4 linked regions of the Xenopus tropicalis genome follow. The protein of the gene in region 4 interacts with the protein of the main gene of each other region in a biochemical or structural test. Links are inferred from orthologs where the notes say so. Each region holds a gene or a part of one and is shown on either strand. Other genes may lie near its edges.

Evidence for each region.
Region 1: the proteins of yap1 (region 4) and trerf1 interact in a test that uses a peptide from one of them, tested with the Homo sapiens proteins (2 studies listed by BioGRID and IntAct, with this or other methods). The link is inferred for Xenopus tropicalis from reciprocal best matches to the Homo sapiens genes YAP1 and TRERF1.
Region 2: of the proteins of yap1 (region 4) and josd2, one has a biochemical effect on the other in vitro, tested with the Homo sapiens proteins (2 studies listed by BioGRID). The link is inferred for Xenopus tropicalis from reciprocal best matches to the Homo sapiens genes YAP1 and JOSD2.
Region 3: the proteins of yap1 (region 4) and ttyh3 interact in a test that uses a peptide from one of them, tested with the Homo sapiens proteins (2 studies listed by BioGRID and IntAct, with this or other methods). The link is inferred for Xenopus tropicalis from reciprocal best matches to the Homo sapiens genes YAP1 and TTYH3.

What each region holds. Positions count from the first base shown.
Region 1 is NC_030681.2:15,168,293-15,176,522, forward strand, and holds the start of trerf1 (transcriptional-regulating factor 1), read right to left. Parts: upstream 4,305-8,230; 5' UTR 3,929-4,304; intron 1-3,928.
Region 2 is NC_030680.2:128,295,753-128,304,078, forward strand, and holds the start of josd2 (josephin-2), read right to left. Parts: upstream 4,305-8,326; 5' UTR 4,263-4,304; coding exon 4,144-4,262; intron 3,076-4,143; coding exon 2,950-3,075; intron 1-2,949. UniProt on the Homo sapiens protein: Cleaves 'Lys-63'-linked poly-ubiquitin chains, and with lesser efficiency 'Lys-48'-linked poly-ubiquitin chains (in vitro). May act as a deubiquitinating enzyme.
Region 3 is NC_030685.2:31,668,956-31,677,137, reverse strand, and holds the start of ttyh3 (protein tweety homolog 3), read left to right. Parts: upstream 1-3,878; 5' UTR 3,879-4,372; coding exon 4,373-4,498; intron 4,499-8,182. UniProt on the Homo sapiens protein: Calcium-independent, swelling-dependent volume-regulated anion channel (VRAC-swell) which plays a pivotal role in the process of regulatory volume decrease (RVD) in the brain through the efflux of anions like chloride and organic osmolytes like glutamate.
Region 4 is NC_030678.2:162,270,036-162,277,747, forward strand, and holds part of yap1 (transcriptional coactivator YAP1), read right to left. Parts: intron 6,069-7,712; coding exon 5,955-6,068; intron 1-5,954. UniProt on the Homo sapiens protein: Transcriptional regulator with dual roles as a coactivator and corepressor. Critical downstream regulatory target in the Hippo signaling pathway, crucial for organ size control and tumor suppression by restricting proliferation and promoting apoptosis.

The sequences.
Region 1 (8,230 bases), on a different chromosome or scaffold from region 4:
AATAAAACAGTACCTGTACTTGATCCCAACTAAGATATAATTACCCCTTATTGGGAGCAAAACAAGCCTATTGCGTTTATTCAATATTTAAATGATGTTTAGCAAACTTAAATTATGGAGATCCAAATTACGGAAAGATCTCTTATCCGGAAAACCCCAGGTCCCAAGCATTCTGCATAACAGGTCCCATACCTGTACTTATCACATGATGCCATTTTCATTAACAAAGAAAGAATTTGTTGAAAAAATAAAAAAAAAACTGATGAGACTTTCAGTTGAAAACCTCTGCCCAAATAATCTGTATTTAGGGATTAAGAAAACAAAACACACACCTGAAACAGCCAGCAATTGCCTTAAACAGCCTTTCCCTAAATGAGTTAAAATCTAAATTCTTGTGTAACCAGTATGGCAGCCGTCCTGCTTCCAGCAATTTTAATTAGAAATATACTAATAGTGTTTGTCAAAATGGCACAGAACAATTATACACAGGTGACACTCTTCAAACATATAGACAATCTCTTGTATTTGTGCAACCTGACAGGATTGGCCTGTGTATGTTGCTGTTTTTCTGTCTTTGGAGAAAAACAAACAATGGAACGTTGAAAAATTTGAAAATAAACTGCATATATGAACTTGCAGGCTTTATTTTGTCATCCAGACACGGGCCAATAGGATTTCAGTAACATCCTTAAATATACGTTGCTATGTTTACCGACTGAAAGAACACACAGACACAATGGTAAATACAGCCAAATCCCTGGAGAATTCTGAGTTCTTTCAGTTACCCATATTTTCACTCATCTTCCCTTATACAGGTATGGGATTCCTTATCCGGAAACCCTTTATCCAGAAAGTTCAGAATTACGGAAACGCCATCTGCCATAGACTCCATTATAAGCAAATAATTCAAATGTTTAAAAATGATTCCTGTACTTGATCCCAACTAAGATATAATTACCCCTTATTGGGGGCAGAACAGTCCTATTGGGTTTATTTCATGGTTAAATGATTCCCTTTTCTCTGTAATAATAAAACAGTACCTGTACTTGATCCCAACTAAGATATAATTACCCCTTATTGGGGGCAGATCAGCCCTATTGGGTTTATTTCATGGTTAAATGATTTTCTTTTCTCTGTAATAATAAAACAGTACCTGAACTTGATCCCAACTAAGATATAATTACCCCTTATTGGGGGCAGAACAATCCTATTGGGTTTATTTCATGGTTAAATGATTCCCTTTTCTCTGTAATAATAAAACAGTACCTGTACTTGATCCCAACTAAGGTATAATTACCCCTTATTGGGGGCAGATCAGCCCTATTGGGTTTATTTCATGGTTAAATGATTTTCTTTTCTCTGTAATAATAAAACAGTACCTGTACTTGATCCCAACTAAGATATAATTACCCCTTATTGGGGGCAGAACAGTCCTATTGGGTTTATTTAATGGTTAAATGATTCCCTTTTCTCTGTAATAATAAAACAGTACCTGTACTTGATCCCAACTAAGATATAATTAATCCTTATTGGGGGCAGATCAATCCTATTGGGTTTATTTAATATTTAAATGATTTTTAGCAGACTTAAGTTATGGAGATCCAAATTACGGAAAGATCCATTATCTGGAAAACCCCAGGTCCCGAGCATTCTGGATAACAGGTCCCATACCTGTACTATGACAAGCAGTTTCATTAAAATATTCTGAAAGTTTAGGGGACCCTAAAATAAATTTACTTAGTTACCCAGTTACAACATCAAATCAAATGTGAAAACAATTCATCAGTATTTCATTTAAACATCAGTAATATCCAACCTGGGGTCCTCCAGCTCTTGCTGACAACAGAAAGCACTGCATTCAAACAGATGTTGGATTTTTCACTGAATCATAAAGTCTGTTATCTGCTGTAATAATCTATGTTCCCTATGACAGCAACTCTTTCTATAATAGAAAGAGTGTTGCGCACACAGGGGCTTGATACAAAAGAAAAAGGTTTTATTGAAAAAATTCCAACGTTTCGAGTTTGAAACGTTGAAATTTTTCATTAAAAATGTTTTATTTTGTATCAAGCCCCTGTGTGCGCGGCACTCTTTCTATTATATTTTTGGTTTTGACCTGCACCAAGGGCATTTGGACTTGTATAGGGTGTGCTCCTCTCTGTGTACTATATATATATATATAATGTACAAGGTATTGCATTCAACGGCACTTGGGCAGAACAGGACTGAGTGCCCCTTCCAGTGGATTATATATATTATATACAGGTATCAGACCCCTTATCTGGAAACCCATTATTTAGAAAGTTCCGAATTACGGAAAGGCCATCTCCTATAGACTCCATTTCAATCAAATAATTCACATTTTTAAAAATGATTTCCTTTTTCTCTCCAATAATTAAACAGCAGCTTGTACTTGATCCCAACTAAAATCTAGTTAATCCTTACTGGAGCCAAAACAATTCTATTGTGTTTAATTACTGTTTAAATAATTCTATTAGCAGACTTAAGGTAAAAGATCAGAATTATGGAAAGACCCCTTATGCGGAAAACCCCAGGGCCCGAGCATTCTGGATAACGGGTCCTATACCTGTACAAACATTTATATACATTAAATACATACATTCTAAAGACATTAGCCAGGTGCTGACCAACCATCCTATGAGGATCGAAATGCGTTGATGGGCACTGAATAAAGGACTATCTTTTGAAGTTTGATTGCTGTGAGTGCTTTCTGTGGACGTATTATATATATATATAATTGTAAGCTCTACGGGGCAGGGACCTCCTTCCCACTGTGTCTCATACCACATGGCACTTATATATATATATATATATATATATATATATATTTACTCTATTTATTTATTATATCACTTGTCCTCCCTGTGTGTAATTTTGTATTCTGTAAGATTGTACAGCGCTGCGTACACTTGTGGCGCTTTATAAATAAAGTTATACATACATATATATATACCCCTGTTTCCCCGAAAATAGGACATCCTCCGAAAGTAAGGCACCCCCCTGATTTTTCACCCCCCTCGAAAAATAAGGCACCCCCCGAAAATAAGACCTAGTGCATATTTTGTAGCTTAAAAAAATATAAGACAGTGTCTTATTTTGGGGAAACAGGGTGTATATATATATATAATATGAGAGTCCACGCAACAGCACCACACTCCAAAGACTGCTGTCCCTGTGCACAGAATAACTTGAAAAAGGTCCCAAAAGGGACTGAAACGTCGGTTGTACATGCAATTATAATACACTAATATTTATCTGAACCACAAGACCCTTGGTGCTGGTTGTGTTTGATTCAGTATATATATATATATATAATGCCACAGTATGTGTTAGAATGGGCATGACCTGGCAAGCACTGCAACATAAAAGTCTTCCTCCACCCAAAAACTGTTCTTTGCATAATGAAAAAGAATGCAGTTCCAGACACAATTACGACAGTCGCAAAGTCAACTGAAAGCGTGCAATTTACTGCAACTGAAAGCAGAAGTCGCAACCAACAGTGCAGGGAACAGAAGTGGGCAGATACTGCTTTTGATAGAAAATGACATTTTGTACAATTGACTTTGAAACCACTTGACAACGTTTACTGAATGTATATTGGAAAGCGACTGAGAATGACATTTTGTACGGGTTCTTTGCCAGGCGGTTTGCTGCAGGCTGACAGTCGCTCGGTCGCACAAGCACAGCTGCAGCGAAAGCTGATCCCTGAGTGCAACAAGTGCAGTGACAGCCGCAGGCGGGGAAGCCGACCTCTGAGTGCAACAAGCGCAGTGACAGCCCCAGCTGCGACCGGCTGCAGGCCACTTGCACTGCGGGACACAGCTACATGCAGCTACAGTATTAACGCACTTTTAGGAAATAAACACAGTTCAAGCATTGCAAAATCCACCAATAAAAAGGGCTCTACCTTATTTTTCTGGTGCCTTCACTTTTTCTTTCCAGTCTGGCAGTGGTCATGTTAAAAGGCGGCAGGGGGTCAGCGGGCTGAATTCTCCCAGAAAGGCGTTAGGGATTCCTCACAAGCCGTGGGGCTGGCACAGCAGCAGGGATTGGCCATGCACAAGCCTCCCTCTGCCGAGCAAACTCGAAACCAAAGGCAAGTTCCTGAAGTTGCAAATGTAAGGCGGACAGTCATTGGTGTTTTTGGGGTTCGCTCTTCATTGGTTACTGTACTGGCTCCCACGATTGGCCTCTGTTACTTTACAGCCCTGTTTGCATTTTTGTTTTTTTTCATTCTGTCAGTTTGCGATAAAGTTGTCAGATGATTGGTGGAAGGGATCTCTCTGGCTGCTTTGGCTTCACTATACTGTGTGGGAGGGGTGCTATCAGGAACTGCACGAAAGGAAAGGATATCCCCGGCCCCGCCCACTCGGACCAGTCACTAGAATGGGGGCTGTGAGGGGGCTGCTCAGGAGTAAATACAGGGAACCGCGCCGCTAGCAATCTTATGGGAGTGTATACAGGCACTGTATTGAAGGGAATGTGGGTATTAGCCTGGGGGAGGTGCCTTGAAACTTACACTGTCAGGCAACGTTGCATTATATGAAACTAGCACTTCTATTGTAGTGTCGCCCACTGTGACCTATGGCATTTATACTTATTTGTGTCTGTAAGTTCCCATATAGATTGTAAGCTCTACGGGGCAGGGACCTCCATCCTCTTGTGTGTTTGGCTCTTACCCTCCCATATAGATTGTAAGCTCTACGGGGCAGGGACCTCCATCCTCTTGTGTGTTTGGCTCTTACCCTCCCATATAGATTGTAAGCTCTACGGGGCAGGGACCTCCATCCTCTTGTGTCTTTGGCTCTTACCCTCCCATATAGATTGTAAGCTCTACGGGGCAGGGACCTCCATCCTCTTGTGCCTTTGATTCTTACCCTCCCATATAGATTGTAAGCTCTACGGGGCAGGGACCTCCATCTTCTTGTGTCTTTGACTCTTACCCTCCCATATAGATTGTAAGCTCTACGGGGCAGGGACCTCCATCCTCTTGTGCCTTTGACTCTTACCCTCCCATATAGATTGTAAGCTCTACGGGGCAGGGACCTCCATCCTCTTGTGTCTTTGACTCTTACCCTCCCATATAGATTGTAAGCTCTACGGGGCAGGGACCTCCATCCTCTTGTGTCTTTGGCTCTTACCCTCCCATATAGATTGTAAGCTCTACGGGGCAGGGACCTCCATCCTCTTGTGTCTTTGGCTCTTACCCTCCCATATAGATTGTAAGCTCTACGGGGCAGGGACCTCCATCCTCTTGTGTCTTTGGCTCTTACCCTCCCATATAGATTGTAAGCTCTACGGGGCAGGGACCTCCATCCTCTTGTGTCTTTGGCTCTTACCCTCCCATATAGATTGTAAGCTCTACAGGGCAGGGACCTCCATCCTCTTGTGCCTTTGACTCTTACCCTCCCATATAGATTGTAAGCTCTACGGGGCAGGGACCTCCATCCTCTTGTGCCTTTGACTCTTACCCTCCCATATAGATTGTAAGCTCTACGGGGCAGGGACCTCCATCCTCTTGTGTCTTTGACTCTTACCCCCCCATATAGATTGTAAGCTCTACGGGGCAGGGACCTCCATCCTCTTGTGTCTTTGGCTCTTACCCTCCCATATAGATTGTAAGCTCTACGGGGCAGGGACCTCCATCCTCTTGTGTCTTTGGCTCTTACCCTCCCATATAGATTGTAAGCTCTACGGGGCAGGGACCTCCATCCTCTTGTGTCTTTGACTCTTACCCTCCCATATAGATTGTAAGCTCTACGGGGCAGGGACCTCCATCCTCTTGTGTCTTTGGCTCTTACCCTCCCATATAGATTGTAAGCTCTACGGGGCAGGGACCTCCATCCTCTTGTGCCTTTGGCTCTTACCCTCCCATATAGATTGTAAGCTCTACGGGGCAGGGACCTCCATCCTCTTATGTCTTTGGCTCTTACCCTCCCATATAGATTGTAAGCTCTACAGGGCAGGGACCTCCATCCTCTTGTGTCTTTGGCTCTTACCCTCCCATATAGATTGTAAGCTCTACGGGGCAGGGACCTCCATCCTCTTGTGTCTTTGGCTCTTACCCTCCCATATAGATTGTAAGCTCTACGGGGCAGGGACCTCCATCCTCTTGTGTCTTTGGCTCTTACCCTCCCATATAGATTGTAAGCTCTACGGGGCAGGGACCTCCATCCTCTTATGTCTTTGGCTCTTACCCTCCCATATAGATTGTAAGCTCTACAGGGCAGGGACCTCCATCCTCTTGTGTCTTTGGCTCTTAACTTATTGTGTTGGGCTGAAACCCCACAGACTGTTCTTCCCCTTCAGCTGATTCTTTCGCTTCTTCTTCTTAGCGCCCCCCATTTTCTAAACACTCCTCCTCCTACAATTTTAGAGGTACAACACCCAAACTCCCCACACATCTTCGCCCTATAGCGGAGCAGGTTGCTTGTGCTTTTCTAAGTGATCCCGCCCCCTGTCTTTTTGTGGCGCCGCTCCGAACCCCCCAATTTTCCCATTGACTTTGACAGGGAAGATATTCAAACTGCTGCCACACTTACAGATTTGAAGCTACACCCGACAAACTTGAATAACATAATAATGGGGTCACCCCGAATGAAACAGGGACATTTGTTGGATGACCCCCAAAGTAGGAGGGGCCAGCAACAGCCAATCAAATTTCACCCACTGACTTTTATGGGGAAATTGCTGCCACACTTACAGCTTTGAGGCTACACTCCCCAAACTTGAATCACACAGTCATGGGCTCAGCCTGAATGCAAATATGATGATTGTTGGATGCCCAAAAGTGGGCGGGGCTGTGAACAGCCAATCAGATTTTACCTATTAACTTGGTGGAAATCCAACCTGCTGCCATTCTCACAGTAATAACGCCGGGGTCCCCAAACTTTGCAGGGTTAGGCACCAGGTAACTGCAAATCAAGGTTAGAAAAGTGGGCTGAGCCACCAACAGCCAATCAGATTTTACCTATTGACTTTCAATGGGGAAATCCAACCAGTATTAATCCCAGGGTCCCCAAACTTTTCCCAGTTGGTCACTAGGGGACTGCAGTTTTAGTTTTGTAAAGTGGGTGGAGCCACCAACAGCCAGTCAGATTTCACCTATTGATTTTTATTGATTTGATGCCAGGGCTCCCAAACTTTGCAAAGTCAGTCACTGGGTGACTACGCATTCAAGTTTTTTTGTTTTTTTTTTTAAATATGGGCAGAGCCACCAACAGCCAATCAGATTTGACCTATTGACTTTCAATGGGGAAATTCAACCTGCTGCCATTCTCGCAGTATTAACCCCAGGGTCCCCAAACTTTTCTCAGTTTGTCACTAGGGGACTCCTGTTTTAGTTTTGAAAAAGTGGCCAGAGCCACCAACAGCCAATCAGATTTCAACGTCCTGCTATTCTCACAGTATTAACACCGGGGTCACTAGGGGACTGCATTTTCAGGTTTTAAAAAGTGGGTGGAGCCACCAACAGCCAATCAGACTTCAACTATTGACTTTTTTTTTGGTTTAAATTTAAAATGCTGCCTTTCTCACACTATTTATGTCAGGGTTCCCAAACTTTGCACAGTCAGTCACTGGCTGACTACATATTCCGGGTTAGAACAAGTGGGCGGAGCCACCAACAGCCAATCCATTTCCACCCATTAGATTTCATTGGTTTATATTTAAACTAATGCCGTTATTTAAATATAAATTCCAGGGTTGTTAAACTTTCATTAGTCACTGGGTATTTGCCGTTCAAAGTTAGAAAAAAAAGTGGGCGGAGCCACCAACAGCCAATCACATTTCACCTATTTACTTTCCATGGTGAAGTGTAAAATGCTGTCAGTCCCACAATTTTTATGCCTGAGTCCCCAAACTTTGCAAAGTTGGTCACTGGGTGACTGCAGTTCAAATATAGGAAAAGTGGGTTGGGCCGCTAACAGCCAATCAGATTTCATCCAATGAATTTTATTGGTTTAAATATAAAATGCTGTGATTCTCACACTATTTATGCCAGGGTGCCCACTGTTTGTCACTGGGTGACTTCGACTCAAGGTTAGAAAAAGTGGGCACACCCACCAACCACCAATCACAATTTACTTATTGACTTTTTTTGGTTTAAATTTAAACTGCTGCCGTTTTTTAACTATTAATCTCAGGGTCCCTAAACTTTGCAGAGTTAGTCACTGGGTAACTGCAGTTCCAGGTAAGAAAAAGTGGGCAG
Region 2 (8,326 bases), on a different chromosome or scaffold from region 4:
ACCCGACTGCCTGGGCTCATTGGGACGCCTTCTTGGAATCATAACTATTCATTCACTAGGCTGCCGCTGTGCTATTTATTTCCTGAGGAGGTTTTTACCTTGCGTGCTGAAGCATAAGTCTTATAGAAATAAGGGTCTCACTGTTCTAAGGCACAAAAAAAAAATAAAATGCAAAAACTAAAATCTAGTTCTAACACGTTACGCTCATAGATGGGGCCTCCCTGTCTCACTCAGCTCTGCACTGGAAGGAAACTCCATCTCTCAGGGGAGGCACAAAGTGAAAAAAATGGAAGCCATCCGCTGCAGGTCTCTGTGCTCCTTGTCCATCATTCAAACTACATAGGGGCCCTGTACTTACTAATTTGTGAGTCACTCGAGCCATTTTGGGGTCCTGTACTTACCTCCTGCTTTATGGCAAGCAGTAGGGACAGAGCTGCTGTATGCCTGCTAACTTGACATTCGGCATCTCAAGCCAGATTTTCTATCTGTTACAAGGTGAAAAGCACAGCCAGACCCTGGGCAGATTTACTTTCTAAGTGAGCACTAGGGGGCACACTTTTAATGCACTACCAAAGGCAGCAGCTTAGATAAGCCTGGGGTTTGTTTATAAAGAGCTCCTTGCCGCAAATTGTCTCCAAGCATTGGAAGAAACCAGGAAGGCACAACCCTAATACAGGGGCTAAGGAAGCTGAAATGAATGCTTGCATTCAAAGCCAACAAGAAGACTTAGACATTTGTTGCAATTATAGAAAATATTGTATAATATAATGACTAGACTTTTTAGATGCATCTCACTAGCGAACACACACACAGCAATGGTGTCACTTTTGTGTAGCATATGTCTTGCCATAGCACTCTATAGTAATAGGGACTGGCTGAGTGAGACAAGTGAGCTTAGAGACAAGGAAAGGTTGAATCACCAGGAGGGAAAGTTGTTAAGAACCCATCAGTGTTCCTAGTCTCTCACTTATGACCCCAGCCTGGGGAAACCTCTTCTGCTGGGAAAGCAGAAGAGTATAGCAGCACAGTGCTCAGAGGAAAAGACCCAGGCATCTTTGGAACAAGGGAAGCGTTGGCCCTTGTTCTAAAGTAAGTGACTAGAAAGACAGGACCCCCCCCCCCCCCCACTAATTGTAACTGTTTCTTTTTACATTTTGTGATTTCCCTGCACTTTGTATGTGGTATTTCTATGGATCATTTCACATATTAATCAAGAGGTAAGAAAGTCAACCTCATGTGCCATCCTCTTTGGCAAATGTAATTTATTTTTTCAGGGATGTGAGCCATAAGTGTCTACATTATACAATCATTTTTCTGCCCTTAACCCACCAGTGACATTACAAATGACAGGGTGAGAAGTGCAAAATACTAAAAATGGAGGCATTTGTTATTCTAAAGCAGTGATCCCCAACCAGTGGCTCGAGGGAAAAAATGTTGCTCACCAACCCCTTGGATGTTGCTCTCAGTGCCCCCAAACCAGGTAGTTATTTTTGAATTCCTGACTTGGTGGAAAGTTTTGGTTGAATAAAAACAAAAATTTACTACCAAATAAATCCTCCTGTAAGCTAATAGTGTGTATAGAGGCTGCCTAATAGCCAATCTTAGCCCTTATTTGGCACCTCCATGAACTTTTATGGTGCTTGTGTTGCTCTCCAAGTCTTTTTACATTTAACTGTGGCTGACATGTAAGAAAGCTTGGGGACCCCTGTCCTAAAGGAACACTGACATGTTCCTGTGAAAATCCATAGGACTGTGTCAGTATTGTGGTGCAAAAATCTAGCAAGCCAAATGCCCCACAAAGCAGGTCTGAACTGGGATTCAGAATTAGTCCTGGCATTTCAAGTACACAGAGGCTCGAACAGCCCCCCACCAGCCCAATAAATAGTGACTGTCTATGGCATCTTACAGCAGCCCCTCTGGCATTTGCCAGAACCCACATATTGTCAGTCCAGTCCTGCCACAAAGCCACCCCAGCTCAGGGGCACCTACCTAAGCACAGCAAAAGGATCCTCAGCAGTTGTGTCAATCACACTGACCTGGGGTGGTGTGATCCTTCCATAGGCTGGAGTGCTGTTTTCATCTGTAATTAGCCTATGGAAGGATTGAGCCACCTCCTGTGTCTCCCTTTGCTCTCTGTCCCCTGCGTAATGAACAGGTATCACTGAGTTGGGGTGGCTTTGGGGGACTTATGTCTATACAGACTTTCATGCCACAACTATTTAGTATTACTGACATGGTCCTAAATTTTCATAGGGACCTGTCAGTATTTCTTTAAAGGGGTTGTCCACCTTTGAGTAAATTTTTAGCATAGAATGCTATTCTAAGACAATCTGCAATTGGTCTTCATTCTTTATTATTTGTATTTTTATTTTTTTTTAGTTATTTTACTTTTTGTTCTGCAGCTCTCCACTTTGTATTTCAGCAGCTATCTGGTTTCTAGGGTACAAATTACCTTAGCAACCAGGAAGTGGTTTGAATGAGAGACTGAAACGTGAATAGAAGAGAACCTGAATAGAAAGATAAGATATAAAATGTAACAATAAAAATAAAATGTAAGCCTCAGAGCAGTAATTATATGGATGCAGGGGTCAGTGACTCCATTTGAAAGCTGTTAAGAGTCTAAAGAGGATGCAAAATAATTAAAAAACTATAAAAAAAAATAAATAATGAAGACCAACTGAAAAGCTGTAGTCATTTTATAACATACAACAAAAGTTGGCGAACAACCCCTTTTAATGAAGTCTGTTGCCGCCACTCACCTTAATACACACTTGTAAAATGTTGTAGTAGGCTGTACAGGAAGTTTTAGTGTATACCATTGCAACTCCCTGACATAAGTATACAAGCTAAGCAACAAAAGTAGCCACGTGTCACTTCATTACCAGTAGACAGTCATTTTATTCAGTTTTCATGCTTTTAGTTCCAATATGGCCAACATGTTACTCTTACCTCCGTTTGTCCCACCAAACCGCTGCATAGTCCATAGTTTGAAGAGCTGCCATAATGACGTTGACATCGTAATTGCCGGTACCCAGAAGACTGCGGTGAGGGTTAATCATAGAGTTTGGAGCGAGTCTGAGACACAGAGAAAAGAATGTGTAAATAGGTAGCTAAGCGATTAATTACAGAGCCGGCTATATTTAATATCTGAGTCACGTTTATACATGCCTTATACCATAGTGGGAGGAACCATCTCAGGCAGTGTGCTATTCAGGCTAAGTACATACTAATTATTAATCACCACTCTGAGAGCTTTGTACTCCAGGGGCCCTTGGCTTCCATGCATTACTGTTGTTTATTTATCGAGCAGCAGCTGTGTAATGGGTAACAGTAGGATCACTGTGTCAGGCAGAGACAAGAGCTTTTAAGGCACCCACTTGGCAGAGCTGGGAATGCAAGACAAGCAATACTCTCTCCCCATACAGGATTGTTTTGCATTTAACTCTTGGCAGATGAACTATTAAGAGTGGCCTATGTGCCATCACATTCATATCTCTCGTATCCAAACTGCACCCCTCCAACTGACTTTAAACTACATTTCCCAGAATTCTGTGCTGCAAGTATGACCCCTCATTGGACAGTTATAATAAGGGTATAAGCTAGCCATGAATCAGCACCATAATTATTATTAACACACATATATATTTATTCTCTAAGATATTACCCAGTAATTTAAAGCAGGTAGGGGTATTGGCGTACCATGACTGCGCTGCGTCCCCTCCCTGTAAATCTATGGGGGGGGGCTTAGCATGAATCGCCAGGGGGCAACTAAGTTTAAAGTGCAAGGGGCAAGGGGAACTAATAAACAGCAAACACCAATCTGGGTCTGCTCTATGGCAGCTGCTGAATACAACAATCACACAGATTCCATACAGTGACTGGCCAGTACAAGAGGTAAAATGAGCCCTGATCAACAGAGCTAACAATCTAAACAGTTCAAGTGCCCCATGTTCCCAGGTACCTTAGAGCCACACACACCAAGCCACAGCATCATAGTGTCCCTTTACTGGATGAGGGCTATACATTACTCTTCTCACCATAACCTATAACCCCACTGTATCTCCCCCGCCAGAACAGTACAATGATGATGTATTTACACAGCCTATCTCCTATACATTCCAGCATGCCCCATTGGTCTCTCACCCCCGGCAGATCTCCTCAGCCCTCTGGTGACTGAACTCCGGTTTCTGCAGAAGGTTATTGAGGGCATGGACAGCGCACAGCTCCAGCCGCTGCCGCTCATGGAACACCGACTCGGTCATAACAATACCGGAAGGTCTGACAGGCAGATACTGCTGCTGCCGCTGCACATTGTCCTACTAGCTGGTCATGTGACAGGGAGGACGGAGTCACGTGGTTGCCTGTAAAAAGGGGCGGTGCGCATAGAGATGGGAGGAGTTATACGATTTGTGGAGAAGTTTTTGTGTGGCAGAGATGTAAAGAGAACCTGGAGTCCCCCCTACACCCACGCCTGTGACCGGAGGAGTTCCCCCCTACACCCACGCCTGTGACCGGAGGAGTTCCCCCTGCAGCCGTTTTTAGGGCAGCGCAAAGGCTCAAATACAGGTTCTAGTTTAAGACAGACAGCTACATTGAGTGTGCTGTGAAACTGAGGTGGGCGGTAATAGGGGGTTCGGGCAGACTCCGCCCTCTCAGCGTGTTCATTGGTGATGCAGCCTGCCAATTACCGGGGGTCATCGGGGGCGGTGCAACAGAAAGGCTGGTGTGTGGAAAGTAATACATTGGCTGTACTGGGGCAGAATCTGTTGTAAGAATCTGGGGCTGAACTGGCAGTTAGTGGGTTCTGGCAAATGCCAGATGGGCTGCTGTAAGGTGCCACAGACAGTCACTATTTATTGGGCTGGGGGGCTGTTTGTGCCTCTGGGTACTGGGAATGCCAGGGGGCTGTAAGGTGCCACAGACAGTCACTATTTATTGGGGGGGGGGGGGGGGCTGTTTGGGCCTCTGTGTATGACCCTGCAGATAATACAACAAAGATATGACAAAAGTTTCATCACACGTCATTCCCCATGGATGGAGGAATCATTAGGATGTTCCATTACTGGGTGGCAAGTAAATATTCCCAGGTTATGGGCACTTTTAGAAACTACAGAGTAGCTTTACTTGCCCTCTGTACCCTGCACTTCCAGTTGAATAGAAGCCCAAATTACTTGCTGTGGTTCTGAAGAATTCCAAACCTAAACTAATATTCCTATAAGGACAAATAATTCCCTGGGACAAGTATCTCTAACGAGCACATTCTGCCCATAATACATATCCGCAAATTCACATTTAGTTCATTTTCCCTTATTACCGATTTGAAAAACTTATTAGTACAGCCATGAATCAATACAATTCAAACATCCCATCAACTGCATTCAAATCTTTCTCAACCCTTTCTCCTTGTAGATTGTAAGCTCTTTTGGGCAGGGCTCTCTTCACCTCTTGTATTGGTTATTGATTGCTTTATATGTTACTCTGTATGTCCAATGTATGAAACCCACTTATTGTACAGCGCTGCGGAATATGTTGGCGCTTTATAAATAAATTTAGGTACTGAAACTTAACAAATGCCTAAAGTTGTGTAGTAGCATGGCTGGCAGAAACCTTTTGATTTATTAATGCAAGTTATTCATTCTGTAATAAACAGTTTAAAGGAGAAGGAAAGGCTAATAAAGAGTTAATCTCAAGGTGCAGGCATACCGTCAGTTCTCTCAATAGTGCCCTTAAGTCTCCCCATATTTCTCCTGTTCAGATGAAAGAAAGTTCCCATAATGCCTTGCTCCTGCACCAAGACCGGTGTACATGCTCAGTTAGTAAGACTATGAGTCAGCTTCCTGTGGATTGGCTCAGATCCACATTCCTAAGGGGGGGAGTAAGTTCTTAGCATTCTTGAGGGAGGGGGGAGCAGGAGAGAGCTGTGTGTCTCTGGCACAGGAAAACAAACAGACAAGAAATCCTGTGTTTCTTTTGATAGAGGACTCTCTGAGCACTCTTCTGTGAGTGCTTATGGCTGTATTTACTTAGACCTTTCTGATAAAGCTTACTTAGTTTTTACCTTTCTTTCTCCTTAAAATGAGATGTTCACCTTAAGTGAAAAACGGGCCACGCTGTTTCAAAATATGCAGACTTTTCATGATTTTTAATGTAATAATATGGTTTGGAACAGTTACGTAAGCCCGACCCCCTGTTCTGCTGATCTGGCTGACTACTTTAAAGCTCAAAACAAATTCCTGCCTTCAGCCTTCATCTGCCAAATCCCACAGTTCCCTGCACATGTGATGTCAATAAGGAAAGAACAAACATAGCGCAATGCATTGTGGGTTATGTGGTTCCTGCATGCTGTCTGTATGCTGTGGAGAAGTTGTTACAATTTGTAATATCATGTTTTAGTCCCTCCTCCCCTGCCAGGATTTGAAATGATGCAGAAAGAAAAGAACTGTTCTGCAGTTGGATTTCAGCACCTAAAAGTGGTATTTATTCCATAAACAGGTTACAGTAATAGGTATATTAAAGGGTTTGAGTCTTGTGTTAACAAATTTTTGTTTAAAAGCCAGATTTCTACTTTAAAAAAATTGCTCATTACTTTTATTTCCATGTAATTTGAAAATATACCACACTGTCATGATTCTGTCATGAGTTTTATGGTATACTTTTTATTCGTAAATTACACTGTTTACATAGCAAATAATTCACTCTACCATTTAAATTTTATTCTTCAACCAAGAATTTTTTTTTACTTTATTTTTTATTATGTTCAACTTTTTAAAGACCATGTATTTGCTTATTACATGTATTCATTTGTTTTCCAAATATAATAAAGATTAGTTGTCTTAAACCGCATTTGTCTATTTTTCATTTGTGATATCTATGCGGCCTAATTGGCCAAACTAATAACAGTGTGGGGGGGGGGGGGTGGAAAAGAGAGGGGAAAGGGGGGAAGGGAGGGAGGAGATTAAATGCAGTTGAGTATACTTTTTAAACAGGTATTAAAGAATATGTACCTTTTCTTGTCTACAAATGTATTTTTTAGCTGTAATATAGGTGTGTAGGCTCCATCTCGGTGCATTGAGCCTGAGTCTGAGCTTTCAGAAGGAGCCAGCGCTACACATTAGAACTGCTTTCAGGTAACCTATTGTTTCTCCTACTCCCATGTAACTGGAGGAGTCCCAAGCTGGACTTGGATTTCTTACTATTGGGTGATCCTAAATAGGAAATTGCCATTTTACTAATTAGGGGCCACCCCCCTGGGTTCACAGGATTCACAGTGCACATAAACAAACCTGCACCAGGCACAAGGGCAACTAAGCTGGTAAAGGGTATGGAAAGTCTCAGTTATGGGGAAAGACTGGCCAAGTTGGGTCTGTTTGCACTGGAGAAGAGGGTGCTTATGGGGAGATATAATTACTGTATAAATATATAAGGGGATGATAAAACAACTCTCTAAAGCTTCATTTACCAGTAGGTCCTAACAACGGACACGAGGGCACCCACTCCGTTTAGAAGAAGGCAGGTTCCGTTTAAATATTTGGAAAGGATTTTTTACTGTGAGAGCTGTGAAGTTCTGGAATTCCCTCCTAAATCAGTCGTACTGGCTGATACATTATATAACTTTAAAGGAGAAGGAAAGGTAAGAACTAAGTAAGCTTTATCAGAAAGGTCTATGTAAATACAGCCATAAGCACTCACAGAAACACTGCACTGACTTCTCTGTAAAAAGATTAGTTGTGTCTGTTGTCCTCTGCCAGAGACACGCAGCTCTCTGCTTCCTGCTCTCTCCTGCTCCCCCCTCCCTCAAGAATGCTAAGAACTCACTCCCCCGCCCTTAGGAATGTGGATCTGAGCCAATCAGCAGGAAGCTGACTCATAGTCTAACTAACTGAGCATGTTCACTTGGTCCCGGTGTCTGTGCAGGAGTCTGTGTCAGTGTTTTTTCTTCCTGTTTGGCTTCAGATCTTCTGAACAGGAGAAATATGGGGAGACTTAAGGGCACTATTGAGACAACTGAAGGTATGCCTGCAGCTTGAGATTAACTCTTTACTAGCCTTTCCTTCTCCTTTAAGGAGGGGCTGGATGGATTCTTAGTAAGTGAGGGAATACAGGGTTATGGGAGATAGCTCTCAGTACAAGTGAGGGAATACAGGGGTATGGGAGATAGCTCTCAGTACAAGTGAGGGAATACAGGGGTAGGGGAGATAGCTCTCAGTACAAGTGAGGGAATACAGGGGTATGGGAGATAGCTCTCAGTACAAGTGAGGGAATACAGGGGTAGGGGGGATAGCTCTCAGTACAAGTGAGGGAATACAGGGGTAGGGGGGATAGCTCT
Region 3 (8,182 bases), on a different chromosome or scaffold from region 4:
CACCGTCTGGGCAACAGGCTCACAGATGCTCTGCTTAACTGGGGACAGAGCATGAATTTGTTCTGTTGGAATACACAAGTGTTGGAGACACAAAGACACCAGTGTAAATTCAGTCAGAAGCCACAGGCTGGTAGCCTATATGGGGCTTGCATAGTGCCAATCATAGCACTGATTTGAAAAGATACAAAATATATTGTTGTGCTTTTATTACTTTTGGACTCCTCTAAATGTTTTTTGTGGCACTAATACTGTCTGATTGTTGTTCACAGAAGGGGAGGTATGGAATGACTAACCTACATCGTGAGGTGTCTAAATTGAGGGCAGTGGGAGAGATTTTAATAGGTTTGGCTCAGCCCTGCTGGACTACTGAAAAGCGCAGCAGGCAAAGGACCAACACTGACCATGTTTGCACCTGGGCAGTAACCCATAGCAACTAGTCAGAGATTAAATTTGTCCACCCAACCAGAGCTGGATTCAGTGATGTAACTAGATGTTACGTGGCCCCACAGCAAATTCAATTTAGGGTCCTAAAATATTGGTAAGTAGACTTATTTAACCAAGATATATTGAAATTGCTTATTAATTAGGTCCTCATTGGGCCCCCTACACCAAGTAGCCAAGTAGTGGTTCCTTGAAACCATGTGCTTGTGTTTATCACATATTTTTTGTAGTTGTTGTAATGAATTTACAGCTTCCCAAAAGGAACTCTTTAATGCAGATTATCTATTGCAGTTCTACCCCCATATATAAGTGATGCTGAGTACAAGAGCAACATGTGTTTATGTGTAGACTGCTTTTATTTTTTTTTGCCAGGGTTGATTTTTACTCCCCATCTGGCCCTGGGAATGAGCCCACAAATCAGACTGACATAGCTGCCATTTCCTGCTTTCTATCTGCCTCCAATTGCAGTCTGCTCAGTACTTTAGAAGTGACTGAGGCTTGTCTCTTGTCACTCCCCCTGTGTCCTAATTCCCACAATTAAGGAAAGAGCTGTAACAGATACCAAATATTGCCCATGTGACACAAAAATTTAACTACTATGCAACATTTAGAGATCCACCATGCAGCTGAGCTCTAACACCTCACTAAAAAGAATGACTGTCTTCTCAAAGCTCTTAAACACATCTAACCAATTTGCCACATTCATCTTTATTATTATTAACATTTATAAAGCGCCAACATATTCCGCAGCGCTGTACAATAAGTGGGTTTCATACACTGGACATACAGAGTAACATATAAAGCAATCAATAACCGATACAAGAGGTGAAGAGGGCCCTGCCCAAAAGAGCTTACAATCTACAAGAAGAAAGGGTTGAGACATCCTGTTTAGAGTTGGACTGTCCCACTGGGAAACAGGAAAAAATTCCATTGGTCCTGCCCACTCCTGTGGAGGGCCCTGCTGACTACCTGTTGCCCGCATGAAACTGTTTTTTCTTTTGGAATGCATTGAAAAAAAATCAGGATGATCATGTATTTCGCTGTTGAATGCATTTACATTTTTTTGGAAGAAGATTCAGCTATACAGGAGGCAGAACTAGGCAAGTAGCATTGGAAGACTAAGAGAGAGGAAAAATTTGTTGTATTCTGTCTATGAAGATTTTCATTCATCCAGGTCATGGTATATCAAGTATAAATAAATCTAAAGCAACTGGACTTGTTAGGTAATCATTGAAGACGTTTCACTACTCATCCGAGCAGCTTCTTCAATTCAACTGACTGGTATGGGAAGTCCTCAGCATATGTACTCTTCCACTAACCCAATTACAATGGCACTATGTAACTCTTCAGAGAGGTAACATATGAGGACTTCCCATACCAGTCAGTTGAACTGAAGAAGCTGCTCGGATGAGTAGTGAAACGTCTTCAATGATTACCTAACAAGTCCAGTTGCTTTAGATTTATTTATACTAGATATTTGTTGTATTCTGTTTCTGTGGGGGAGGTAATGCTTTTTATTTATCCCTTTTCTGCTGTTACCTTACTGGCATGTCTGGGGTTAATGTGCTCATTGTCTGCAGTGATCTAACTGTCATGTCTGGGGTTAATAAGCTCATTACCCATTTTCCTTTGCAAAGAGCCTAAAAATGTTAGCCATATTTTGTTGAGACACCCATTCTCACCCTGGTACACAGTGAGGGATTGGAGGAAGTGAAAAAACTGTGAGAGGTTGTGGTGGAAGGTGTATTTGGTGGGCCCCTGGGGGGAAGTTCTCTTGTGGGCCCCAGTCCGACACTGGTCACACACAGAGGAAAGTTAACTGCCTCCTGATATAACAATGATATTGTGTGTAAGACTGGGACCTTAGATTGTAAGCTCCACTGGGGCAAGGACTGATAAAGAATAATAATCATTATAATATGACCACAGTCCGTCAGTGAAAACATAAAAAATCATCTTTGGCTGTTTGTTGGAGTGCTGGAAGTTGTAGATCCATAACAACCGGCTGGAATAATACTAAGAAACGCAAACATCTTAATAACAATATGCCCTTGTACTTTCACTAACCACATTTTGTAACCAAGGGATTTGCATCAGGCTATGGGCACAGGGCAAAAGCTCCCTCTGCACTACCCTACCCTAAAACCAGCCATCCATTTCTAATTTATCATCTCTCTTGCAATGGCACCAGCGCCATACCCCTTTAAAAGCAGATGCCTATTAAAGGAACAGTAACACCAAAAAATTGTGTTTTATGTAGTTAAAATATAATGTACTGTTGCCCTGCACTGGTAAACATTGTTTTGGCTGCAGTTACACTACTATAGTTTATATAAATAGGCTGCTGTGTAGCCATGGAAAAGGGAGAAAAGGCACAGGTTACATAGCAGATAACGGATAAGCTTTTTTTTAGGGGCTGATTTACTAATCCACGATTCCGAATGGGAAAAAATCGGATTGGAAACAAACATTTTGCGACTTTTTAGTATTTTTTGCAATTTTTTGTCACCGTCGCGACTTTTTAGTAGCCGTTACGACTTGCGCGAATTGTCGCAACTTTTTCATAGCCATGATGACTTTCGTGAATTGTCGCGACTTTTTTGTATTGAGCGCTCGAAAATACCGATCATTACGGAAAAAAACGCATTCGAATGCTTTTCAGACATTTGTGGATTGGTAAATGTGCCCCTTAGTGTTTTATCTGTTATCTGCTATGTAACCTGTGTCTTTTCGCCTCTGAAATGGCTGCCCCCATGGTTACACAGCAGCTTTGTTTATATAAACCAGCGTTTTTCAACCACTGTTCCGCGGCACACTAGTGAGATGTTGCCTGGTGTGCCGTAGGCAGGGCACCAATGTACTAGGGGGGCACTGCTCTTGGCACCAATGTACTAGGGGGGCACTGCTGCTGGGCACCAATGTACTAGGGGGGCACTGCTCTTGGCACCAATGTACTAGGGGGGCACTGCTGCTGGGCACCAATGTACTAGGGGGGCACTGCTGCTGGGCACCAATGCTGCTGGGCACCAATGTACTAGGGGGGCACTGCTGCTGGGCACCAATGTACTAGGGGGGCACTGCTGCTGGGCACCAATGTACTAGGGGGGCACTGCTGCTGGGCACCAATGTACTAGGGGGGCACTGCTGCTGGGCACAGAGTTAAATTTTTTAACATTTTCTAATGGTGGTGTGCCTCGTGATTTTTTTCATGAAACAAGTGTGCCTTTGCCCAAAAAAGGTTGAAAAACACTGATATAAACCATAGTAGTCTTTCTGAGGCAAACACACCAGTTGTACTAGTGCAGGGCAACAGTTTAATTTAATTAAACTTTAATTTTTTTTTTGGTGTTACTGTCCCTTTAAATGCACATTCTGCATAGCTAAGAAGGTAGTGGGGGCTGATGGGAGCTGTAGTTCTGTGACAGATAGGCTGCCTATCCTTGCCTACATGGGAAAGAGGCAGGGTGAGATAAGATAGAGAGAAATCTGGAAACCACTCATCAGGCTGGAGGGACTAGATTCCCACACAGGGAATGAGAAGGACGAGCTCAGGTTATTACATGGGGCGGGACTAGCAGAGGGAAAGTATCTGCCCCAGACAATGGAGGAGGAGAAATGAAAGGGAAGAAGGGAAGGACCGGGCTGGAATAGGAGGAGCCGAGGCACATCGAGTCTCAGGCGAACAAAGAGCCGGAGCTCGGGTGCAGTGCCAGGGACTGGCTGAAGAAGGGCTTCCAGTGGCAGTGCCGGCTCCAGGCCCTTGTTGCTGGCTATGAGCAGGGGGCGGTGTAGGAGCGCAGAGCTCTTAGGTTGCTGGGAATAGGAAATGGAGGAGGGGAAGAGAGCCTGAGACAGCTGACCCCCTCCCTCCATCTTCGGGTACCCCATGGCTGGCAGGCCCCGGCTCTGAGTCGTGCTACTTCCTACAGACATGGCCGCTGCCATCAGCTACAGCCCACCGTGGTGGGTCAACCTGCTGCACCGGCTCCCCCACCTCAACCTTCAGTGGGAGAGTCTGACTGGGGATTTCCGCCCACAGGACCCTGACTACCAGCAGGTGAGGCAACGGGGGATCTCATGTGGCACCTTGGTATGGGGGTGTCTGCCAAATCTACTATTGCTGTTCATTAGTAATATGAGTGTTCTACCGAAAAGTATATGCTGCAAATAAATTCTCTAGACTTTAGTGAAACCAATTATGGTCCCATATGACTTGCTACTGGTGGTTACAAATGCTTAAATGCAAACAGCAAAGGTATTCCGCTTGGCTTTCTTATTTACAATGAACAGTTTCTGTTTACTTGTACTCTGGGGACCTCAAGCTGTTGATTTGGCAGTAGCTGTAAAAGAATTGTGTGAGTTGTAGTTCAGCAGGTGTTGCAGAGCGTAATCATTTTGCTGTGGACTGCTGTAATGTAATGACGTTACCCAACACTCAAGATGATCTGTATAAATGTGGCTAAGTTCCTGTGCTATCCTGGGCTGAAATGTGGCCATGAAATGAAGTGATAATGTTACATTGGGCTGCAATACCAGGAACTTCCCTGTATGGTGATATTGTGTCTGCCATGTAAATAAATCTTCTGCTTGAGCCTGAGGATGCATTGCTGTGCTTGTCTCCAGCACGTTAGCAGCCGCTGGGAATGCCCTACATTTTTATTATTATTCTTTATATAGTGCTGACCTATTCTGCAGCCATTTATAGAGATTATACACATTTCCCATCAGTGAAATACACAAGTGGATCTTATAATCTAAGCACCCTATCACATTCACACACCCTATGGTTAGTTTTATAAGGAGCGGAAACCCACAGAGACATAGGAAGAAAGTCCCGGACTGCAAAGGTGCTGCCCTTATCAAGCATAGCCAGCATGTGGCCCTGGAGGTGTAGTGTATTTGTAACTTCCACTATTTCTTGACCTTACCTGTAGGCTAATGAAGGATTCTGGGAGTTGTAGTTCATAGACAGCTAAGAGGGCTTATGGTTAGACATTTTCTGCAAATGCCTGAGCCAAATCTAATATAAATAGCTGTTGTTTAGAAAAGCTTCTTTTTACAATTAAAGATTCCAGCCTTACCCTTTGTGTCAGTCACATATACTGCATTTCCTCATACTATATGTTGTGTAGCCCTTCTTTTTTAATTTTTTTTCTGTACCCTGGAACTGCAAAATAAAGCTGTTACATTTGTGTGGAAAAATGGCCACCCTTGTACTTGTTTGCAGCCTGGATTCCTGAATCCTAGAAGGCTGCCCTTGCTTATCCTGTGCCTCCCGTTCACAATTCCTGGATTGCTCATATGAAGCCTTTAGCCATTTTTTGTTTTTGCCTTAGAAACTACAGTTCACAGTTGCTACATTTGTGTGGCAATTTACAGCTGTGTGTTACGTTTGTTCCTTCCTGTGATTCCTTTCTGCGCCTAAATCTAAAGGGTTAATAGAAGCAGGCCATTCTATCCTTTGGAAATGAGTAGTGCCCTAAATTATGTGCCACTTGGGGCCTGCACCTCACTGCTCTGCTGTCTGCTTCTACATATTTCTGGCAACAAATGGCTTGTGGAATTCTGATTATCCAGCAGTGACACATAAGAAGCCGTGCAGTAAATTTCAGCCCCATTTAACACTTTGCGGATAAACAAGTAACAAATCTGTAGAGTCAGATTTTATGAAAAGTGATTTTTTTCCCTTTACCTGACATGCACAAATCATTATCAAGGTAATTATATGGTAGCAGAGCAAGGCCAGGCATTGTGTGGACACGAGACATGCCAAAGCACTTAGCACTTTTGTTCACAAACCATAAAATTACTGGGTTTGGTAAATGTGGTGTGATACATTTGTTTACAGACTTTACAATGTGGACTTGCATACTGTAATATCAAGGAATTGTGTCTTATCTCTTCTCTACTGCCAAACAATGTGTTTGAGGTCCTGTTTTGTATGGGACACTTTATTTTGTAATTGTGTGTGTTGCTTGTCTGAATTTGTGTGACCATCACATTTTACTGTGTTGGCATATTCCCCATGGTTTGTTATTGATTATTGGAGTGTAGTCCCATTTGTGTGCCATGCAATTTTCCTTTTTCGGCTAGTATGACTTTTATGATCTCAGCTTTCGTTTGAAGTCAAGTGTTCGGTGTTTAAAAAGTGTTTTAAATACATTTTGTTCCAGAAAGCAGCAGTTTAACCAACTTGAGTGCCAGTGTGGACTTGTGTTGCAGCAGCTATAGCGTTTATGTATACAAAATCTATTGCAGTAAAGGGAGTAAGCTACAAAGAATAGAAAAATCTGTATAGAAATTTCCTGTATTATTGCTTTTTATTCATTTATGTGCAGGACAAAACTAAATAAACATCAAGTACAAACCTATACATAGCATTGGTATTGCATCCTGTGCTAAAAAAGGTGCAAGCCCTTACTACCACTGTTTTTATACTGTATTATTATTAATAACATTTATTTACAAAGCGCCAACATATTCCGCAGCGCTGTACAATAAGTATACTGTATAACTGTATAGTGTAGGTCCACACTAGGATTCAGACTAGGCCCTGGCATTTCAAATACACAGAGGCCCAAACAACCCCCACCAGCACAATAAATAGTGACTGTCTATAGCATCTTACAGCAGCCCCTCTGGCATTTGCCAGAATCCGGAGATTTCGAGTTCAGCCCTGCTGTATAACCAGAACCAGACACCAGACAAATTCAATAATGTAATCAAGGGAATTGGCAACTGCAACTGGCTTGCCTGTGCTAAGGCAGGGGGACATAGTTATGTTACTGTGTAGCATACAGGGAATCTGTGTTACTTTGTAGCATAAGGAGAATACCTAATCACAAGGGCAGCAAAAACACCAATGAATAACTATTCATATGTTTGACGAACAAGAAATGGTGACCTCATACTTAAATGTTAATTTCAGGAAATATAAATGCAACATAAATGAACTTTATACCCTCTTGGATAAGAAAAAAGCCTTATACCCTTTTGGTAAACAATTCTTGTAAAGTCATGGGCTCTGATTGGCCTGCCTCTTCTGCATTTAGATATGCAACCTTGGCAACTCTTATGGCCTGGCACGCATTAAAAATACGCTTGTACCCCCATGAGCAATGTGGGATTTTATTTTAACATGTTAAATCAAAATTATCAGCAGGTCCAAAGCCATAAATGTCTAATGAGTCTTTAGTTGTGCCTTAGGTTAATGACATAAGATTTTTCTGGTAAAAGTCAAAGAACATTGGAATAGTTTTACCTTATATAAATTCGGAGCCCCCACAGCCAACTTTTTCTCTCCTGCATGCAAGTGTATGCCTTGGGGACTGGCCAATTCAGCATGTCCTAATCTGAAAATTGCTGCTGCTAAATTGGGACATTCTGGGAACCTTTGTGTGCCCAAGGCCGTTTTTTGCATGCATGTGAGGCTGTGGAAAACTATTGTTGTTTGTGCTTTCTCAGATACAAAAGTAATTTATGGGCTGCAAACTGCCCCCGGCCCTTAACCTGTTTGGCAAGTGCTTAGGCTAATGCCACACAGAGCGTAGGTAGCATATGCCCCGGCAAACATTTCCATGCTGCCTACGTTACGTGTGGCATTAGCCTTAGATACCATAATAAGTGATTTAGATTTAGATTTTTTTTTTAGATAAAATTGTCATTAATCTGTGAGATCTGGAGATGTGAATTACATCATGGAGACATGCTCATGCTGAGGCAATGCCTGTATGATTATGAA
Region 4 (7,712 bases):
TAAAATAGGCAAAATTTATGTTCAGCCCAAGCCCTATTCATAGCGCAATCATGTTGAACAAGCGGATATATTGCCCCTCTAAACAGAATAGCAAATATTGCAAGAACACCCACTGAAAAACGACTTGCCCGTTTGCATTATGCAGCGGCTGGATTCATTGGGGTCAAATTATGTTGAATCCAATGTACATTTTGTTACTGCAAGTCAAAGCCCAAGGGTACCAAAAGCTAAGAAATCATACATCCTAAACTGTTGTATTTTGCAACAATAGCGGAAGATGAAAAGTTAATGAGTATTTTATGTGAGCGTAGGTAACCATTTACGGGAAATATTCAGTAACAGGTCTTCCCACATCCACGGATGAGTTCACAAGGCAGTTTTTTCTCATTTTTAACAATGTCACAATATTATTGGTAATTGAAATGGAGGCAGGAAATGAACTTTTCTACTTGGGAACACAATGGCTGATCTAACAGACGACGGCTTAGCACTCAGGGGCACAGAAAGCTCTGCTCAATCGCTTAGGGAAAGGAACAGCAAGGCAATAAAATCCTGCTCGATCCCCAAACTGTAGCTTTATGGTTACCTATATTGTTATGGTCAATACATGGACGTAGAGCCAGTACCACTCAGTGTTGGACACTGAAAACCAGAAAAGCCATTTGCCAAACTGAAAACCAGGCCAAATGCCTAAGAGCCAAACCTAAGAGCCTGTAATTGGAGTTACTGCTTTAGGCCTAAAATTGCACATATCAACCACCGCCATGGTCATGTACTGGTCAATGCAATCTGGCCATCCACTTGTCTAAAGGTGGCCATACACATGAAGATCTGCTCGCTTGGCGAGGCTGCCAAGTGAGCAGATCTTTTCCCTATATCACCACCTACGGGTGGGCGATATCGGGGAAAATATAGGCGAATTCGATCGTTTGGCCCCCGATCCGATTAAATCTTTTAACCTGCCCTATCGATATCTGGCCAATTTCAGGCCAGATATCGGTCGGGCATGCCCCTCTTTCTTGCCCCTACACGGCCCATAAGCTGCCGAATCTGTGTAAGGGACAGATATCGGCAGCTACAACCGGCCCGTGTATGGCCACCTTAAGTAATTCTATTTTAAGGGATGTACAAAGACTGACTGTTGCTCCTTGGCTGAGTAAAGTTGCCCATACATATCCCCTCCAGACTGGCCCAAGTATGGGGCCCACTGACAGCAGGTCTCTAGGTCAGGCAGGTTTATGGGGTCCATGTAATGGCTCTCCATAGACCTCACTGTATTACCCCTGTATTGTTGCCCAGTGTGCCGCTAGATTTTGCCCAGTAGGCTGTTAATTGTTCTGCTCCATAGGAAAGTATCTGACCGTTAGAGTGACCATTTCTGTGCACATAACAAATTACCCTCAATCATTAATATGTAGGGAGCCCCCTAATTTAAGAGTCACGAGTAAGATTTGCTGGTTTCGAGCACCGGAGTCTGAGGCCGAGGCAGCTAAGACCTCACAAGCAGACAAACAACAAATGCTTTGTCCCATCCAGGGGGATCAGAAAATGGGGGTAGGGCAAGATTACGTTTCCAAAATAAAGACAAGTTTCCAATTAAAGCTTACCGTAAACAATCTGCCCTTTTATATTTAAGCACATTTCTGCCCAGCAATGATAATTAACCTTCAACAAACAGCAATTAAGGGCAAGACAAAATGAGACGCTCGGGGGAGAGAACCGATGATCACATAAAGCCAAGCCTCTTATTTAAGGTAATTTGACTTCTTTTTTCCTTTTCAGCCCTAAATGTTCCCGGGTTACCCCTCCCACAAACAGGGCAAACAGTGGGACGTCAGGCAGAAAATAAAAGAACACTGCAGTCATTTCTCCATTGTCTCTACTTCCATTTATATGGCTGTAAATCAGTGTTCTGGCACCTTGCCTGCTGGGGCCCAACCAGCTTCTGTGATAAAATATCACCTTTACCACTACCCAATGGGACTATTGCTAAAGATACAGTTTAAATGGAAAATGCACCCAGCATATAAACATTTTATGTTTGATTTTTTTTTTTTTATTTAAGGTGACAAATCATTGCAAGGAATCATGCATTTTCCTTAAGGCAGAGATTTCCGACCTTTTTTAGTCTAAGCCCCTTCTTGGCGATCCAAGTGTCCCATTAGCTCATACCAAGGTTACAAATATAGGAACATTGGGGTATTGTTCTCATTTCTTGTTCCAAGAAAACAAGTTTTCACCCCAAATCCTAAGGCAGCCGCACACAAAAATCTGCTTGTTTGGCATGGATCTTTCCACAGATATGTCCACCTAAGGTAAGCGATATTGGAGTAATGAAATTACAACAACTTAACAGGAATAGGACCCATCTTAGTGGGGACTGCATTAATGAGCAGAATCAATTAGGCCAGAAACTGTTTGGGTAAGCCCATGAGGGGATCCCTATACACGGGCAGATAAGCTGCCAAATTAGTCTGAAGAGCCTGAATCAGCAGCTCAAATCGACCCATGAATGGCCACCTTTATCCTAACTGACCTTTTAGGTGTATCTAGGTGAGAAAAGACATACTCCCCAAACCTCATCCCAAGTGGCCTTCAGACCGAGCCCCCTCCCACTGCTCCAAGCTCCTCCAGAAGAGCCAAATTGGGAAGCAACGGCACATAAGGCAAATCCAAACTTTTTATTGACATCCTGTAGCTCAATGGAAAGGAGACAAAACACTCAAATTGTACCTTGAAATCACTTGAATGGACATCACCTGAAAACGTTGATCTTGATTATCGTCCAAAAATGGTAACTTGCAAAACACATCTGTCCATCTTGTAATCCTTAAAAGACACTGCTGGACAGTGGTCTGCACTGGATATCACTGATTGATATCACTGATGAGCAATGACTGCCCGCACTCATTGCCAAGGGCAAACCAAAGTTTCTAACATCACTAATGGGTTGGCGCCTTTTAGATTTCTTAAGGTGGCCATATACGTAATAATTATGATCTTTCCTGCAACCACTGGTTCAGGGCTGAACCGTCAATGATGTTCAGGGCTGAATCATCAGAAACAATAAGAATTCTACCCCTATCTGACGATTCAGCCCTAAAGGCAGATTTTGTCCCACCTGATATCCAAGGCTTTTGTCTCATCGATCCAACATACAAGCACTGAATATGGTACAAAACCTCCTTGTATGATAATATCAGTGAGTGCATGGCCAGCTTAATTCTGCTAACCTGCCAAGATCACTTCTCTTTAGTAGATAGTTCCAGTAATGAACGAACAGAACATTTGATATAGAATTTAATATATAGAATATATATAGAATAGAATATATTACTTATTCAGAGTAAACCTTGGTTATGGACAAATAGGAATTTAGGCCGGTTTCACTTGCACAAACACAACAAATACCACTCATACTTTAAGATACTGAAACTCTGACATTCAAGGACCCAATAAACAATTGTCCTTTCATAGAGAGCACATCACATTGCCGAGCAGGGTCACAGAATCGCACTATTCAAAACTTAGCAGAACGTCAGTACCCCAAACCTCTTATAATACAGAATGCAACCACTCCGTGGGTCACATGTAGCAATATGGCTGAACTGCCTGACTGCACAACCGCTGCTCTGTGTGGGGTGTCCTTGGGGAAAAGCTTTGACACGTGTGTCTGTAATACTATGGGAGCTAAGTAAATCGTTGGACTGGAAATGATACTCACAGAGCTATTTCTACATATCTTTGGGTTCCGGTGCTACCTGTCTATCGGCATATATTTGATTTAGATTACATTTCACTTCAATTGTATTCAGTTTCAGCACATTGTGCACCAAAATATTTTTGTGGTGTGGTAGTTGCTATGGTGACTGGCTTTGTTGCCCTTTATTTGGGGTGGATGAATAAGGGTGTTTCTGTTTGTGCTGATGTAGGGCTAAGTTCAAACCAAAAGACTGATTATACAATAAACATTTTTCTGTGTTTTTATAGCCAGGGCTGAAGTACACCGCGTTGGCCTAGTCTAGAGAACCAACGCTCCCACAATTAGAGTAAAACTAATGGGAAACAACACTGTCTCTGTAAAGGTGGCCGTACGCGGGCAGATTAAAGCTGCCGATCCTAGTCCTTTAGGGTAAGAACCCACAACGCAAGTTAGTCACCTGCAATAGATCGCTGCTATCATGGGTGAGTAACTGCTCCAAAAAGGCTTTCCACCTGGCCCTTCCCATGGCTTTGGTAATCCCAGTTGCGCTAAGGTTCCTCCTGCAGGCAACTTTACGCGACTTTCGAAAATGAAGCGATGCAAAAGGCTTTCCATCGGTGACTTCTATTGTTGCCAGTAGAAAGCATTTTCGAAACAGTTACTCACTTGCAATAGCAGCGATCTATCGTGGGTTCTTACCCTTAGACCGATTCGACAGCTTACCTGCTGTGTATGGGGCCCTCCGACAGGTCTCCCGAACAGATAAATGGCCGGCTTGATTCTCCTGTTAGATCGAGGACATTGGCTCTTTGATGTGGTCCTCTGACTGCTCGTATCCCCTTCATTATAATGCGATTGTTTGGCCCTAGGGCCAAACGACTGCATTAGCATGATATTGCCCTCCCAAGGTGGGCATATTGGGGAATAGATCCGCTCGCTTTACCAAACAAGTGGATAGTTTCTGGCCACCTTTAGTCTTATATCCTAACATCTGCAAAACTTATCCTCAACTGAGACCCAAAGTCTGATAAAAGGACACCGATCACATAAAAAGAACAGATGGGGGAAAAATAATATTTTTGGAAGAAATCCAACCCAGCGATTGCTATGCATCCTACACCACAAACATGCACATGATGAGGGAGCTGGGGCACTTGTTAATATGCACTTACAGTGGTGCTTGAAAGCTTGTGAACCTCTTAAAAATTCTCTATATTTTTATAAGTACATATAACATAACAGCTGTCTAACCTGGGAGTTCCCTAGGGTGCTTCTCTATTGTTTTTCCAATGGGTAAAGAGTTATGGGATACCTAGAAAGGACTTTGCAATTCCAATATGTCCAACCTCTAAACCAATGAATGGACCACAATGGAGATCTATGCAAGCCAGTTGGGAAAAGGATCACATCTATAAGCAGATGCATTCTTCATCTTATGGGATTTTGTACCCTGTCTGGTATTGGTCAGCCAGGCTAATGCAGACTGCAGGGGGCTTAACTGGTCTGTATATGGCCGACAATACATAAGGGAATCCATTCTGCATATGTACACACTGGTGAAATAAGCATATGTGCAATTTCTACTATATTAGTAGGTGCCAAAGTGTCACCGGTGCAACAGTGCTTCCTATTTAGCTTGAGAAATCAGCAAAATGGCACTTTCTCCCCCATCTTTTCAAAATGGCTGTTTTTGTAAATATTCCACTGAAAACATTACACAATATACCCTTGGGCTAGCACAGTCAGATCATCAACTTGGAATTACAGATTCCCTAGCCCCCAGGAACTTTGCAAGCCCCAGCAGCTCACAATTATTAACCAATTTCTTTATGGCCATGGGAATGGGCATAACAGATTGTCAGGCAACCCATGGAAGCATTATATTGTATTATTATCCCCTTATTATAGTGGGAAAAGCCTAAAACCATGGCGCTGTACAACAGACGGGTAAATGCATCACCCACACTACATATTTATACAGGGGGTAAAGGTAAAGAGGGCTATCTAAAAGGTAACAGAAAGTGTGCAAAGTGTATCATTCCTTCTGATTCCTACAAAGGCAGTATTATAAGGGGTCATTTGGTGCCATAGGACAACCAGGCATGACCAAATGGATAGATACCAGTATGGTATGGTCTCCTTTCTATTGTACTGTTTTGTGGGCTAAAAAGCTTTAAGCTTAGGGGAAACTATCTTATCATGTATAAAAGTGATGTTACTGTATGTATTGAAGAAGTGAAAAGGTCCTTACCGAAACGTGGGTCTAATCGTGGGTCTAGCCAAGATGTGGTTTTGTTCTTATGATTTATGAAGTATGTTTCCCCTTCTGGAGTCAGTGCCTGTTCCCACCCGTCTGGCAGTGGACCTATAACACAAAAAATAATAGATCTTCAGTAGCGTGCCATTTTCAAAGAGGAAAGATGGCAATCTTGCCGAAAGCAATCCATTCCAGCTAATTTCAGATGCCAATATGAATTTAGACAAGAGACGGGCAGTTACGATGAAGGAAAATCGAGAATGGATAAGCTATAAAGCCAGTGGAACACACATCTACTCCAGTGGAAAAACAGAGTGCCACCCACTAGCCTAATATAATGGTTAGCGAGGTAAGTTGGGAGGTCCCTTGAGTTGGTGGCACAGTGCTTTGATGAGGCAAAGTCCCCTCATAGCATTTGGTGAGAGGTGAGAATGTTGGGTCTAGTCCTTCATTTGGCACTTGCGCAGTAACGCTCTACTTGATGGCCCTACACTCTGTGTGATGTCAGGCATGCAGTGAATGAAGGACAAAGCGGGTTTGGTGAGGAGACATTTGCAGGAAAGAAACACTGGCAGCCTGAACATTAGGAACCAAAAGAAAAAAGCTTTCAAGTACTCATATCCCATTTCTATTGAAAACATACCTTATTTTAGAGTTCTGTTTGTGGGTGGTGCGCCAAGTAGACTAAACGTGACCATACACTGAGAGATACGCTAGTTTGCCAAGGTCACCAAACGAGCAGATCTTTCCACCTTGAGATGGGCGATATCGAATTGATCTGACCAGTTGGCCCTTAGGCAAACCAATCAGATCACACTGCCAGGATACAGGCTGTTGGGGAAAGGACCACATCAACGCACTGATGCACTCCTTGCCTCGAGGTGATTTTTAAACCTGCCCGATCAACATCTGGCCAATTTTTGTCCAGATACCAGTTGGGTAGGCCTGTCCAAGAGACATATACATGTGTAGAACTACCTTAACTTAACCTTCCCTAATAAAACATGCCAGTTCTTCCCATCAGGCCTGAAGATGAGCGGTCCCTAGCTAATTGTGCAATTGCAAGCCACGTGCAGGTCCACAACCTAGAATGAAATACTCTTTGCTTATCAATAGTTTTCATACAGTAATTCTAGGGCAGACCCCCCTAGATGGGCCCTTTGCAGTAATATGGGGAGAGGGAGCTCAGCTGGAAAGCAAGTTCAGGCAAAATCTGAGGAGAACGCTTGTTTGCTCTTCTAGATTAACCTGAAAGCCCAGCTTGGAGGTCAATTAAGGTGAGATATGGATGGAATATTTTTGTTGCACATATTCTTGGAGGTATGGCTAGAGAGCTCATACAGCAGGCTTGTTGTACTTGTTATAAACTAAGGGGGGGGGAATCAGTCCAAATTCTGAACTATAAAAAAAAAAATCTTGGCCCCAAAAAATAAAACAAACTGAGCGCTGGGTTAGGTGTTCCCACAGAAGGATAAAAGGAAGAGAACCCTTAATTACAAGCAACTTTTTCCTTTTAATTTTAACATACTTCAAATCGTCTGAAAACCAAAAGGCTTGCGCTTTATTCCACTATGGGCCATTATGAATTTGACGGCAGCCACACACGAGTGCACAAACAAATTCACTTGTACGCCAGGCAGCCAGTAACATCCCAGACACGGGTATCTGCACACTGGGCCAGTCACAACAAAAAAAATCTATTGAAATCTTCTTAACAATTTAAAATCATCTGCAAATTCTCTTATAATAATG